Drosophila melanogaster: one gene and its partner. The protein of the gene in region 1 interacts with the protein of each later gene in a pairwise test. Each region holds a gene or a part of one and is shown on either strand. Other genes may lie near its edges. The genes, in order: Gmap and Rab2.

Region 1 (6,681 bases):
AAAATATCCCCCCTAATTTACCATTTAGCTCAATTTTCGTGGCTTATTATCAACGCCAGATGCGTGTCGAGGGTTTTTGAGTTTTTCGGTTTTAGAGTTTTGGAGTTTTAATTCCTCACCGAAAGTCATCAAATCATTGCGCTCATAAATTTGACAATTAGACTAATTTTCCTGTTGCATATGGGAATGAACACGAAAAACTACACACTATCTACGTAATTTTCAACTCACCCAAAATAAATAGAGCAAAAGTACACACCAGAACACACGAAAAAAAAAATTAAAATGCAGTCGTCGCGAGACTTCCGGCAATAAAAAATGAATGCAAAGAACAAACAAACAAAAAAAAATGTTAAGAAAAATTGACCTTCTTTTTGGAGGAAAATTTCACACGATTTTCAAATGCAAATCGCGTTTGTTTTGCGTTTTTTCTTTTCTGTAATTTTTCAGGCCAAAACTGTGCCCACCGAATGAGAAAGAAACTGAGTAGAAATTAACACTTTATGCGGGCCTACGTGAATCGATCACACGGAACCGAATGAATGCCAGCCAGCAGGTGAACCGGGCTTTTATAGGCCCCCGGATCCAGGCAATCCAGCCAACCAACCCCCTCGATCCTGGCCAGCTTGGCCCGGATAAGATAACCCGAGCATGGTGCCATGCAGATGTCCCAAATGCCCGCCTAATGGGGATGATAATGGTTGGCAGGAGCAGATTGCCATATTCACGAAGGAGGAGTAGGAGTTGGTAGTGGCAGTGGAGGTGGGCCATGAGGGATGTGAATGAAAATGGGAATGGGAATGGGAATGGGGATGGAGATGGGGACGAGGGCACACTTATCGCCGGTCGCCTGGCGCAATTATGCAAAACAATATGGTGACCCAACTATCGATCCAAAAGATATGGCTATCTTTAGATAGTACATGCGAGATAGCCCAGAAGGAAAAATCTGGGAAAACATATATCCACATATATAGAAATCAAATGATGAAATGATGAAAGTTTGAGCCGATTAAGTCATATCTTACTCAAGAAGATCAAGATTTGAATTAGCTGACTAGAGCAACCATTCATCTATCGACATTAAATTAAAAGAATAGATCAAAATCGCTTACATGAAAGAATTATATATATGTATCAGATATCCGTATCGATTTTCCAACTGCTTACTGTTCAGATTTCGCCAGCTCCGATAAGGAATGAGTATTTATGGTTTATCTCTGAATATTCGTACTAAATGATGCAATTTTCCCTCATAATTTATGCTTCGCATGTTTGATAGGAACTCATTTTTACACAATCGATTAGCTAATCAGAAACAAATATAAAACATGAGTAATGATGGCCGAAACTAGAAAGATCAATTTGCCAATTTAAGCTGCAACCAAAACCGGATTTAGAGCAAATAAAAATCTGGCAAATCATAATGGCACGTTAAATTAACATAAATATATATCATATTGTATTTGATTATAAATTGATTAAAATATTTTGATGTTTTTTAAACAATCAATTTTAAAAGCATTTTTAATGAACAAAAAACTACAAAACTTTATATTATATTAAAAGAACCGTAAATTTCAAAAAGCAGGCAGTTTGAAAGTATACTCGTAATCCATATTGTAAAGTCTTTGGGATTTCTAATTTTTTACCTACTGGCAATGCGATCGATTTGAACTTTAGATCATAATACAATGGTTCATTATTTTAAGAATTAAATAAAGTATCTACGATTCTAATAAAATTGCCAAAGAGTAATTCAATCATTTCGAAAAAAATATAACATCTAACGCTATGGTTATATATGCATGTCATTTAGTATTTTAAAACTAGATCTACAATGTGAAAAGCCATATTTTTTATATTTAAGGTGACTATGGAAAATCTGGTACAGTTGTGCTTCAGAAAGATCTCCATCGCCCCAGTGACCAAACCAAATGGCTCCAAATGCAACCCCGTCACCCTGCATTTTCAACGGGAATATCAGACACTTGGGGTTGCGCTGCAGTAACTTGCCTAATCAGAAATAATTCGGTAAATTGAACAAGCAGTTGGCGAACGGAGGGCTATGGAGCGATAGGGTTAGCAGCACGCCTAGATAAGGCTAACAGGCATATGGGGTGATCGAAAAGGAGACCAGGGATTTATGACAGCCAGGCAAATAGCAGACACCAAACACCACCGAATGTGAAATCAAATAGAAGTTGCACGGGGAAAAAGGTGAATGGATGTCAAATGAAAAATCAGTTTAAATTCAAATTCAAATTTATCCAGGAGAAAGTTAATATAAAACCGTTTTTAGCATTAGATTGCTAATCCGAAAGCTCAAGACGCTCTAATGAAATATGGCTTACCCTGCCATACTATTAGTACATTCTTTGCAATCGAGAACTTGGCTTATTTTAAACCCCCCTTTAATTGTTGGCAAAACAGAAATCGGTGAATTCTAGCGCTTTGTAATCGTGCCACGGAAAACAACAATATGCCACTGCAACCATTTTTCTCTCCGTGTGAAGCATACAATGTGGCATCAGGTAAACGCGAGAAGTGCAGATAAAACTAGGGTAGTGCCGACTCCTAGCTTATCGCAGTTTAAATATTAATTCAGGGATATGTGGCCAAAAGCGAAACAGAGAGCGCGAGAGCTGGGCTTATCGCTTATTTGAAAGATAAAGCCGGTCAAACACCACTCCACGCCGGAGTGCAATGTTTCCTGGAAGACGGAGTGGGCACCGGATGTGGCATGGCCACATGGGGGCCAGCTGCAGGTCCCTCGGATCAAACGTCACTTACCAACTGCGGTTCCCGCGTAGCTGATGTGCTGGCTGCCAGCTGGGATTCCTGTTTCTGCTTGCTTTTGGCCAGTTCTCGGCGCAGGGCGGCTATCTGAAAGGGGCAATCGGATGGCCATTGGTGAAGAAGCCGCAAAAGTGACTGTGAGTTGGCTTTACCTCACGATCCTTCTCCTCGCACCGCTTGTCCAGCTGCTCCTTCTGCTCCTGGGTTTCGGCCAGCAGTTCCAGGGCTGTCTTGGCCTGCTGCTCGGCGTCTTGGACGCTAGCACCTCCTGCTTGATGTCCCTCATACTCCAAGTCGCCGGGTCCTGCCGTTTCGGCCAGAACTTCCTGCGCCAGATTGGTTAGTTGGCCCTTCAGCTGGCTGAGACTGCTGTTCAGCCACGACATCTTCGCTGCTCTCTTCTGGGCAGCGTGGGCGGATAGGGGGCGTGGCTCTTCTCGACGAGATCACTCCGCTTTTGGCTAGCTGATTGCTAATTTCGGATGAAGTATGCTTAGTTTTTTGGAAACGATAATTTTTTTTGCGTGGCAGTGGCACAAACTCAAGCGGTTCTGTTTGCTTCGTTCCACAATTTAAATCCAATTTGGCTGTTTGTTTTAATAAAGGATGTGTAAGCTTTATATGCTTTTGTTTGTGTTCTAGTAGTATTAATTCTCTTATTTATTATTATTTTTATTATTAGTTTGTGATATGGTATCGATATCCGACGTCCTATCGTCAGCTGATTTTGTTATTGTTATTGTTTTTGGTCAGCTATCGATTGGCGATAGGCAGACCGACCGCCAAGGTGCATGGCAAAAAACTGACATCTACTAAACAGAGTGCCAAAATTTAAAATTGTTTATTGTAAAAAAAAATACCTTTATTTATTATTGAATATTCAAGCATTCTTCGATTAGAGCCGCTGAACTTTGTAGTTAAAGTTGGATACTCTTAGCATACTTAGTAATAGTGTAGACTAAAAGTCTACCTAACGACGCATTTATCCCAAGCAAATCCAAAGAGAGAGCCACGTCACTTCATAAATTCTGTTGCAACGTTTATTTGAAATCAAAAAAACAAAAAATTTTCTCAACACAAACAAAAAGTTGTTGAGGAGAAACATATTGACTGACTAATGAGTTGAGTGAGTGGCATGGTATTTACAGCCTGGCAGGGAGCCGATCCTCCTCCGTTCCGATCCCTTCTAGAAAGTACGTGGCTGGGAGCCGAAACCAAGCCCCACGCCACGCATCGTGTGTGTGGCGGCTCGCGCCATCTCGTACTGCTGCTCCATGTTGGAGAACATGCGCTGGCGCTGCTGCACGTCCGTGGGCACTTTCGTTCCGCCAGCGGCTCCCGATGGCGCAGCACCTCTTACTGCGCGGTTTCCCTCGCCTGCTGCACTTCCATTGGTGGACTCCGCCTGGCCGCCCTTGCCATCGTCATTGCCGGACGTACCAGCGTTCTTGATACCCATGAGCCGCATAAACTTGGAGGCCACCTTGCCGTCGGAGTCCTGGGAGAAGTGCGCGTTGCCCCACTTGTTCGCCGAGTTCTCGCTCTTCTTGGAGCCCCACAGTAGCTTGCGCTTCTGCTGCTGCTCCGCATAGCGATTGGCATTGATGATGCTCGGATTGTAGTAACTGGGCAGCTGGATGGGTTCTGCGACTGGTGCTGCTGCCGCTGGTGTGCTCAGCTCCAAGGACATCAGCGAGGGTATCTTGGGCGCATAGTTGGGCGTGGGCAGGAGACCGCCGCCACCGCCGCCGGATGAACCGGCTGCCATGGCTGCGGCTGTTGCATTGGCAGCTACCAGAGCGGCCGCTGCAACCCTCGCCGCTGCTGTTGCATTAGTTGCCGTTGATCCTGCTCCGCCGCCTGATTTAGCGAGCAGCATATGAGATCCGGCCACAGCTCCACCGCGAAGTGTTGTGGCTTGTTCTTCCTTCGGAGATCTGGAGCGGCTGCTGGAGTCGCGTTCGCGATATTTGCGTGACTGTTGCGACTGATGGCGGCGACGAGAGGGCGGCGTGCCCGTTGGTGTGCGGGAACCGGATCGAGAGTCCCGGCGACGACGACTGCGTTCATCATGGGATCGACGGACTGATGCTGCACTGACCGCTGCAGCGGCGGCTGACGATGAGTTGTTGTGATGATGATGATGGCGTTCCTTGCCACTGTGGTGGCGACTGCTCTTCTCCGAACGCCTACGGTCCCGATCCTTGTCGCGATCTCGCTCCCTCTCCCGGTCACGATCCCGCTCCCGCTCTCTGTGGCTGTCGCCGTCTTTGGTACGATGGTGGCGATGGTCGCCCTGTAAATAGCACAGACATTAGTTTGGCTGAGTTATGCTGAGTTGATTAGGACTCTGTCTCACCTTGCTGTGATTCTTGTCGCGTCCTTTGTCGCGACTGCGTTCTGAATCGCTGCGCTTCTTGTCCTTGTCCCTGTCACGTTCGCGGTCGCGGTCCCGTTCCCTGTCCTTGTCCCGCTCCTGGCGGTGGCGACTGCTGGGCTTCGGCTCCTGGAACGGGATGAAGCAACACATTGAGGAGAATTACATTAGAGCGTATGGATCTACGAATCTGCGCCGGCGACTAAGGATCTAGGTCTAGTTGCTAGATGCTTAGGATGCTGGAGGGGAAATAGAAAGAGGATTCGGGCTGTGGGCCACCAGCTGGGGTCCTTTCCGGGGTGTCCTAGATTGCTTAGAGAGTTGTTAGGTTCTATTTGATCGCTTTTTGTATACTCACTTTCGTGCGCCTTGATCTCTCTTTCGCATTATCTCTCTCTCTCTCTCTCTCTCTCGCTTTCGCGCCACCAGTGAGTGAGTGAGTGGGTGGATGGGTGGGTGGTTGTGTGTGTGTGTGTGTGTGCGGGCGGGCATGTGTGTGGTGAGTGTGATCGTTCTATTTGCTTTTACCTTTTTCAGTGGCTCACACACACCCACCAACACAGCCACAGAGTCGCACACAGGACTACACACACAGTGGTGGTCATAACAAATTTGATCGATTGTCGCACTATCGAAGAAGCTATTGGTAATCGAGCGATTACTACGATCGGGCTATCGTCAATTATCGTCGGTCAGGTTTGTTTTCGTTTTTTGTTTTTGACTTGTTTGTTTGGAAAATGGTTTTTCGTTTTGGTTCGATTCGGTTTCGTTTACGTAACAACAATAACAATGATAATAAAATGGTAGAGTTTAGTCATTTAAATATTGATTGGCATATAAAGTTTGTAGACTTAACTAAGCTGGCCGAACAACAACAACAACAATGTGTGTGTAAATCGCAAGCGGACCGAACAAACAGAATTTTCTGTCTTTGGATTTAATTTTGAGTTTTTGGCCCATATAAATCTGGCAGTAGCGAAATTTGGATGTAACGGGTTGGAGCGCATGCAGTCGATCGTGGAGATCAATATACATAAATATATGAATATTGAATTTTTCAGTTGGGAACAGCAGATGACTAAATAATAGCACAAGAAAATGCCTGAAGCCCCTAAAGATGCAGAATCTAACAAGATCTGCGATTTATATCTGTAACTAATGGAAGTATTAATCAATGATAACCGAAGTAAAGCTGAACTACAAGACTACAAGAAAAGATTGTGAATCTGTTCTTTTCTTTAATTGCAATATAAACTATAGAACCAGTGGGGAATGGACTGCATGCATTATTGTGTTTTAACATTCCATTAATTTAGTTTTAACAATGAAGTACTGCTGCCAATGACCTTGCCTATGTATAGAATTATTACTTTTGCTGGCGTAAAGGAATGGAGGCACTGAAAACTAGGCTGCATTATTGATTTGATGCAGTGTCCTGTTTTTTTGGCACAAGTACTTTTCATTCATTACGTGGCATTTTCTCTTTTTTATTTGAAGTGAATTGG
Region 2 (6,773 bases), on another chromosome or scaffold:
AGTACTCTTTGGTGATATTAATAAAAAAAAAAAAAAAACAATTTCATTGGCAAAGGCCCCAAGCTGTGCATGAACTCAAGGCGCAATAAATGCTAAAATTAATAGACAAATGTGCCAAGCCGTCGCGTGAATTTGTTTATTTTGCCAGAAGACGTCGCAAACAATTTTGGCAGCTGTTCGAAAACGAAAAGCGTTGCACAACAATATTGTTGGCCAACAGCGGTGAAATTCCAAGCACAACGTTATCGATCAGCTCAGTTAGTAGGCCCCCTTAGCTGTTCAAGATCATGGTTTATCTTACCCCACGACTGCGGAGTCCGAGTGCCCTAATAGATCGATAAGAAAACTAGTTGAAATCAATGCTAACTCCTCAACATTGACCAGATAAGGCTCCTCTGCTCAATCAGCGGCTAATCTACTTTTTGGCACGCTCCACAGGTTCATTATCCCCTATCTGTACCTTCCCGATTACATGAAGCAATACAAGTACGACGTGAGCCAGAGTGCCGAGTTGATTTCGGATGTCGGCATTGCCCAAACGGTGGGCATGATAGGACTTGGCTATCTGGGGGATCTGTCCTGGATGAACATCAATATATGCTACTCGCTGTGCATGCTGGGTGAGTGCTTGGACTATGTCACATTTTCAATTTATCAATTGAATTTATTATTTATTATATTTTTCAGTGTGCGGAGCGTCTGTGTTCTTCATGCCCCTGCTGATTACCAACTACATGGGCCTGATGGTCATGTGCGTTATTTTCGGATTTACGTTCGCCAGCTCCTTCTCGTTTACGCCCAGCATTCTGGTCAGTATTGTGGATCTGGACGATTTCACGTGTGCCTACGGTCTGGTGCTGCTGGTTCAGGGAGTTGGAATGATCGCAGGACCCCCTATTGCAGGCGTCATATACGAGTATACGGGCAGGTGAGTTGGGCGGCATTCTACAGTCTGTGCACAGGTTATCTGACCACCCGTTGTCCTCTTTCAGATGGGATGACACCTTCTATTATGCTGGAATATTTATCGCACTCTCTGGTGTCTGTTCGTATCTGATCGAGTTCTGTGAAAAGAAAGCACCTAAGGAGAGTGATAGTGATGTCTTAGAGACTAAAAAAGCTCAACTTTTACACTAGGTTACTTACATTGCACTGTTGAACGCCGCAAGTAGAAGGCAACTGGAGGTACTACAAATCCGAACTGTAGCATAATAATGGACTAGCATTAAATGTTAACGAGTTTCTTATGTCAAATGGTGTTGCAGCCATAAAATCAGAGCAGAATTGTAACTGAAACTAAGCCTATTCCTAAGCTCTAGCCTGTAAGACTATACTTGACTTGACTAATCGTAGCTAAGTATCAATATACACCTAACATATACTTACCGCACTAGGGCAATTACTAACCGCATCTTTGTCTAGACAAACTGTTCAATTTCAATCAATATCAATGCAGTGCATCACTGCCAGGTGCAAACGGGTCCCTCAATTGTCTTCTTTACAAAATTTAGAAAAATAGTTTTAATTGCCTTACATTTCGTACGAATATTAATTAAAGGGAATACAATAAACAACAATCTATGTAACGTATGCAATAACAAGTGACCATTTTCAATCAATCTAAAACTCACAATAAAATCTTTGGAGCATTTGTTTGTACATCAAACGTCACGGATCCGAATAGTTTCCAATTAAAAAAAACCAACTGAGCAAATTAGGGTATAAAAAATAGTTAATGTTGAAGCGAAAAACTTGTTTTTGCAGTTTGGCAAACTTTTTCTTAGACAAAACACAGATAAGATTCAGAAAATAAGAAACAAACCTATGTAATATCTTAAAAGTTCAAGTATTATTAAAAAAAAATACAAAAATATTTCTAAATAGTATATTTCAGTAGTAAAAAAATGTTTTAACATGTAAGCACATTTAAAAAAATTAAGTAAATGCGACACTATATCCCTATAGCCGACATAGAAAGTGGAAATTGTTAATTCCGAACACTTTAGGAAATATGTACATAAACAAAAAAGGATTCACCATTTAATAATATTTACAAGACATTAATTCAACAATTATCTACCGAAAGCCTCTTACTAAATAAAAAGGGTTAAAACTACACTAATGCGTAATTATTTGTCTGACCTCTTTTCATTTAAAAGTTGAGTTGTTTACAACTTTAAATGCCTCATTAAATTTGCCTTAGTGTTTTACTTCTCATCTAGACACCAAAAAACTAATTAGTCGTTAACTATCACTTGATTAAACGCTAATGAACCCAAGGTAAGTACCGATTTAATTTATATAATTATATTAATAGTAAGTATGTATATTTATTATTCCGCATTGTGTTGGGCAAATACAAATATTATAAATAATTTGATTTACGTTTACAGTTGTATCTTTCGTTTTGTCTTAGCAATCGCCGTTAATTAAATATATAAACTTCGTAAAATACTAAATTGATCATTGAATCGCAGCATTTCGTGTTACCACTGGTTAATGCATGTTGATTGTGTAAATTATATAACCCCATTTCGGCCCTCACGTTTTGTATATTTTGTTAAAGTACTTTTTTTCTAGTGTATGTATAAAGACTAAGCGGATTGCACAACAAAATAGACAAAGCAAATGCGTTGAGAAGGAAACGTAAACATATTAATATATTTAATTATGTATGTGTGTATAGAGAAGCGGAGCAGATACCCATTGCAAAAGGGGGCGTGGCGCAGCGTTGCGAAGCTGGACCTCACTGAAATCGAATCACAATGAAAATTCACACAGTTTGATTTTTGTTCATATATTACACATCATTTTGTCAAAATCCCAATGTATAACTATCGATTTTACACGAAGTAACTAGCAAACTAACTTCAATATACACAAAATACATGCATAAAACATTTAAAAATGTTTCAATAAACTTTATAAAATTTAGAAATCACGCACGACATTCACGTACACAAATGTGGTTTGTTTTGGTTTATTTCTGGTTACTTCTTCCTTTTGGTTTTTTTTGGTAAAATAAAACGTAGCTGAACAAGGAGATGTGTTTCTTGTAACTGTCTGATCTTAATGGTTTTAACATTTAGCTTAGTGTCCAATTGCTAGATTAGTGGTAGCTATGTTTACGTGGTTAGTTACGGTTGAGATAGAAAACAAGAAATCTGTTCCTTCAACTACCTTCTATTAGTTAGTCACTAAAGTAGCTTTTACAGAAGCGGCTGCGCCTATCCCAGAATTGCAATCGGGCATCTGCGGTTTACTCCTAGCAGCAGCCACTGTTTGCTGCTCCAGCTGCTCCTCCGGCTCCTGGGAGCGACGGGTTTGTGGGGGAGTGCTGTTGGCCGATCTTAATGCCGTTTGCCTAGTAACGAGATAATAATGTAGTGGCAAGAAGTTTCTAAGTTAAATGTATCCTTCTTACCTCATTGTTGATGTCGAAGACACCTTCCTGGATCTTCTCGTAAATCTCTTTGGCCGTATTTATGAACGCCTCCTCTACGTTGGCAGCTGTGCGCGCAGAAGTCTCCATGAAGACCAGTCCGTGCTCGCGGGCGAAGGCCTCGCCCTCCTCTTTCTTCACCTCACGCCGCGAATCCAAATCGCTCTTGTTGCCTATCAGCATAATGACCATGTTCGAGTTCGAGTGCTGACGCGCATCCTCCAGCCAGGTGGTCAGGTGGTTGAAGGTCTCCCGTCGCGTGATGTCGTACACCAGCAAGGCGCCAGCAGCTCCGCGGTAATAAGAGCGTGTGATAGATCTATTCAAGAAATATTTTGCGTCACAATACAGTTATATAAATGACAGTGCTTATATTATTTAATTATTAGTAACCCATTAAATTTCTGTCTGACGACTTCTATTTAATTTTAAGTAAAGTATAAAAAATTTATATCACAAAAAATTAAAAATGATAGAATTAAAACTTTTTTAAATAAACATCTATCAACAATGTGCCGAAATGAAGCAAATAAAATTTTTTGAATACAAATTATTAAGCCTTTTTACTAAAGGCTCTATATATATATATTATTATTATTTTGGATCATTAAGTAAGAATTTTATTCAAATTATTTTATTTAATATAAAAAACGAGCCGAATTATTATCCGCCTTGGACTTGGGGTTTTGGATACGAAATTTGCAAAAATTTATTCAGTTCAATTTTGGAAGTAATCTGAGCTTTCACTTATCCCTTCTTAAGTATTAACACTAAATGAACAGAAGTGGGTACCTGAAAGCCTCCTGCCCAGCCGTGTCCCAGATTTGAAGCTTGATCTGCTTGCCGTCGATGGTGATCATGCGTGCTCCGAACTCCACGCCAATGGTCAGGTCGTGCACCGGCTGGAATCGCTTGTCCGTGAACTGGAGCAGCAGACAGGACTTGCCCACGCCTGCGGAAACGGAAAAGGGTTAGTGGGCGAGCGGGGAAAAGGTGGGACAGGCTGGAAAATGCCAACAGCTGTTGGACATCCCGAAAAGCAGAGTGCTGATAAGCCCGTGGCTCTTTGGGGCGGAATCCCTCAATTACTGGGGGTGGTTGGGTGAGTCAGCAGCAGGGTTTATGTGTGGGCTGCTCCCCGCGCACCACTAACTCTGAGAGCAGCAAACGCCTGTATGCGTTGTTATGGTATTATTGATTTTTCCTTCGGCCCACCGACTCCAGGAATATTTTCCTGCCGACGCAATTTTGATCTCACGGTATCAATTTTTCACTTGAGACCACCTGAAACCCCCATTTTTTGATTTTCGGGTACGACCCCTACGCCTGCGATGCCCTTTGTTTTGTTGTGTTGTTTGCAATTACAGATTGTTTCCCTGACAATGGCCAACTTTTCACTGGCCATTCCGTTTCAAAGGAAGTCGCAGCTTGCACTCACCTGTGTCTCCGATAATGATGTATTTGAACAAGTACGCGTAGGACATGTTTTAAGCTGACGGGGGTTACGGTAAGCTAGTTTTTAGAAAGTACGATCTCGTAATGCCACAGATAATACGCAATTCTTGTACGTTTTCCAATCTGTTCGTATTTATGATGACTGGCTAGCGACAGTGTGGCCACTTTGTGGCCAGGGCTGGCGGAAATACCGAAATACCGCAAGGCTGCAATCGCCCTATCGATAACGATGCGCACTGCCGCTGGCCAATCGATAGGTATATGTATGTATGTAGAATTTGTCAGAAATTTTCTCGCACAAAGCAAAGTGTTTTGGAGGATAAACGCCAATTAATTGTCAAGCGATGTGCCAGCTCCTGTAGAATACACTCAGCATACTACGGTGCAGGGATCCCACATCCGGAGACTCCCGCGGGGCAGGGACCAGGCTAGCATTCAGTTTCTGCCAGTGATTTTCTCATCAAGGCGTAGGCACAGACGTTGTGGATCATCGCGTCTTCGAGCGGGTGAAACATGAAGATGGCTGACGGCTCGACCATATTGCGTAGGAACCGGCCAGGCACAAAATCCAAGGTGAGCGATGACATGGCGTCCGAACAACGATCCCGGCCCGGCCCGTCTGACCCGTTTTCCGTTTCGCCTTTCAGGACTTCTGTCGCTGGCCCGACGAGCCCCTGGAGGAGATGGACAGCACGCTGGCGGTGCAGCAGTACATACAGCAGCTGATTAAGCGCGACCCGAGCAACGTGGAACTCATACTGACCATGCCCGAAGCCCAGGATGAGGGCGTGTGGAAGTACGAGCACCTGCGCCAGTTCTGCATGGAGCTGAACGGCCTGGCAGTGCGGCTGCAGAAGGAGTGCTCGCCGTCGACGTGCACCCAGATGACAGCCACTGACCAGTGGATATTCCTGTGCGCCGCGCACAAGACGCCCAAGGAATGTCCGGCCATTGACTACACACGCCACACGCTGGACGGTGCCGCCTGTCTGCTAAACAGCAACAAGTACTTCCCTAGCAGGTATGCAGGCTTAGCGACATGGTTGAACTAGCCACATAATAAGCAAAGTGTCTCTCCCAGGGTGTCCATCAAGGAGTCGTCGGTAACCAAGCTGGGCTCCGTATGTCGGCGGGTGTATCGCATCTTCTCGCACGCCTACTTTCACCATCGTCGCATTTTCGACGAATTCGAGGCCGAGACGTATCTGTGCCACCGTTTCACGCATTTCGTCACAAAATATAATCTGATGTCGAAGGAGAATCTGATCGTGCCCATCAACGTGGGTGAAAACGCGGCCCCTGGCGAAAGCGAGGCTTAGGAGCCCGCCCAGATTAGTCAGACTCGCATGAAACACTCATTCAACATACATCTATTTATATTTACCAATAGCTTGCAAGTTGGGTTGGCTCACCCTGACAGGGAAACGATTCCACGCGGACCCGACTCTAATGCAGATCTTGTATGTAGTTTAGATGTCAGATACACATAGAGCTACATAACGATAACTAAGTAACAAGGGCAGACCCCCTCAAACCCGCTCGCCCCATCTGATCCTAAGTCAGCAATTATTTCGCAAGTTATATTACGATTATGTTTAACTCCTTATTTTAATAAATTATATGTAGGCACACGACCTTCTCGTGGCTGATTCCACGTCAAATCCCCGTAAACTAAACTAAATTCCCTTGACTACTGGCAGCCAAAACACCAACACAGCTGTACGTGACTAAAACGTGAACTTTACTATACAAAATTACTATATACACAACAGAAATTGCAATAAAAGAAGTACATACATAAACACACCAAGGGCAAGTACGATCCTCCTGTGATAAATTTGTCAAACGATATTCACTTCGTGCATAGGCTGTTGGT

What was found.
Region 2: the proteins of Gmap (region 1) and Rab2 interact in a two-hybrid assay, tested with the Drosophila melanogaster proteins (one study listed by BioGRID).

What each region holds. Positions count from the first base shown.
Region 1 is NC_004354.4:15,483,746-15,490,426, reverse strand, and holds the start of Gmap (golgi microtubule-associated protein), read right to left. Parts: upstream 3,506-6,681; 5' UTR 3,186-3,505; coding exon 2,952-3,185; intron 2,887-2,951; coding exon 2,794-2,886; intron 547-2,793; exon of another isoform or gene 232-546; intron 1-231. Other genes in the region: CG6340 (uncharacterized protein), read right to left, coding at 3,986-5,095, 5,159-5,305.
Region 2 is NT_033778.4:6,695,037-6,701,809, reverse strand, and holds Rab2 (Rab2), read right to left. Parts: upstream 5,072-6,773; 5' UTR 4,927-5,071; coding exon 4,881-4,926; intron 4,395-4,880; coding exon 4,235-4,394; intron 3,762-4,234; coding exon 3,425-3,761; intron 3,365-3,424; coding exon 3,266-3,364; 3' UTR 2,341-3,265; downstream 1-2,340. Other genes in the region: chk (chaski), read left to right, coding at 439-620, 688-928, 993-1,137; Mob4 (MOB kinase activator 4), read left to right, coding at 5,411-5,470, 5,545-5,918, 5,967-6,216; CG3270 (uncharacterized protein), read right to left, coding at 6,739-6,773. UniProt on the Drosophila melanogaster protein: May be involved in bidirectional endoplasmic reticulum (ER) to Golgi trafficking. Together with Rab7 involved in promoting fusion of autophagosomes and endosomes with lysosomes, probably through recruitment of the HOPS tethering complex.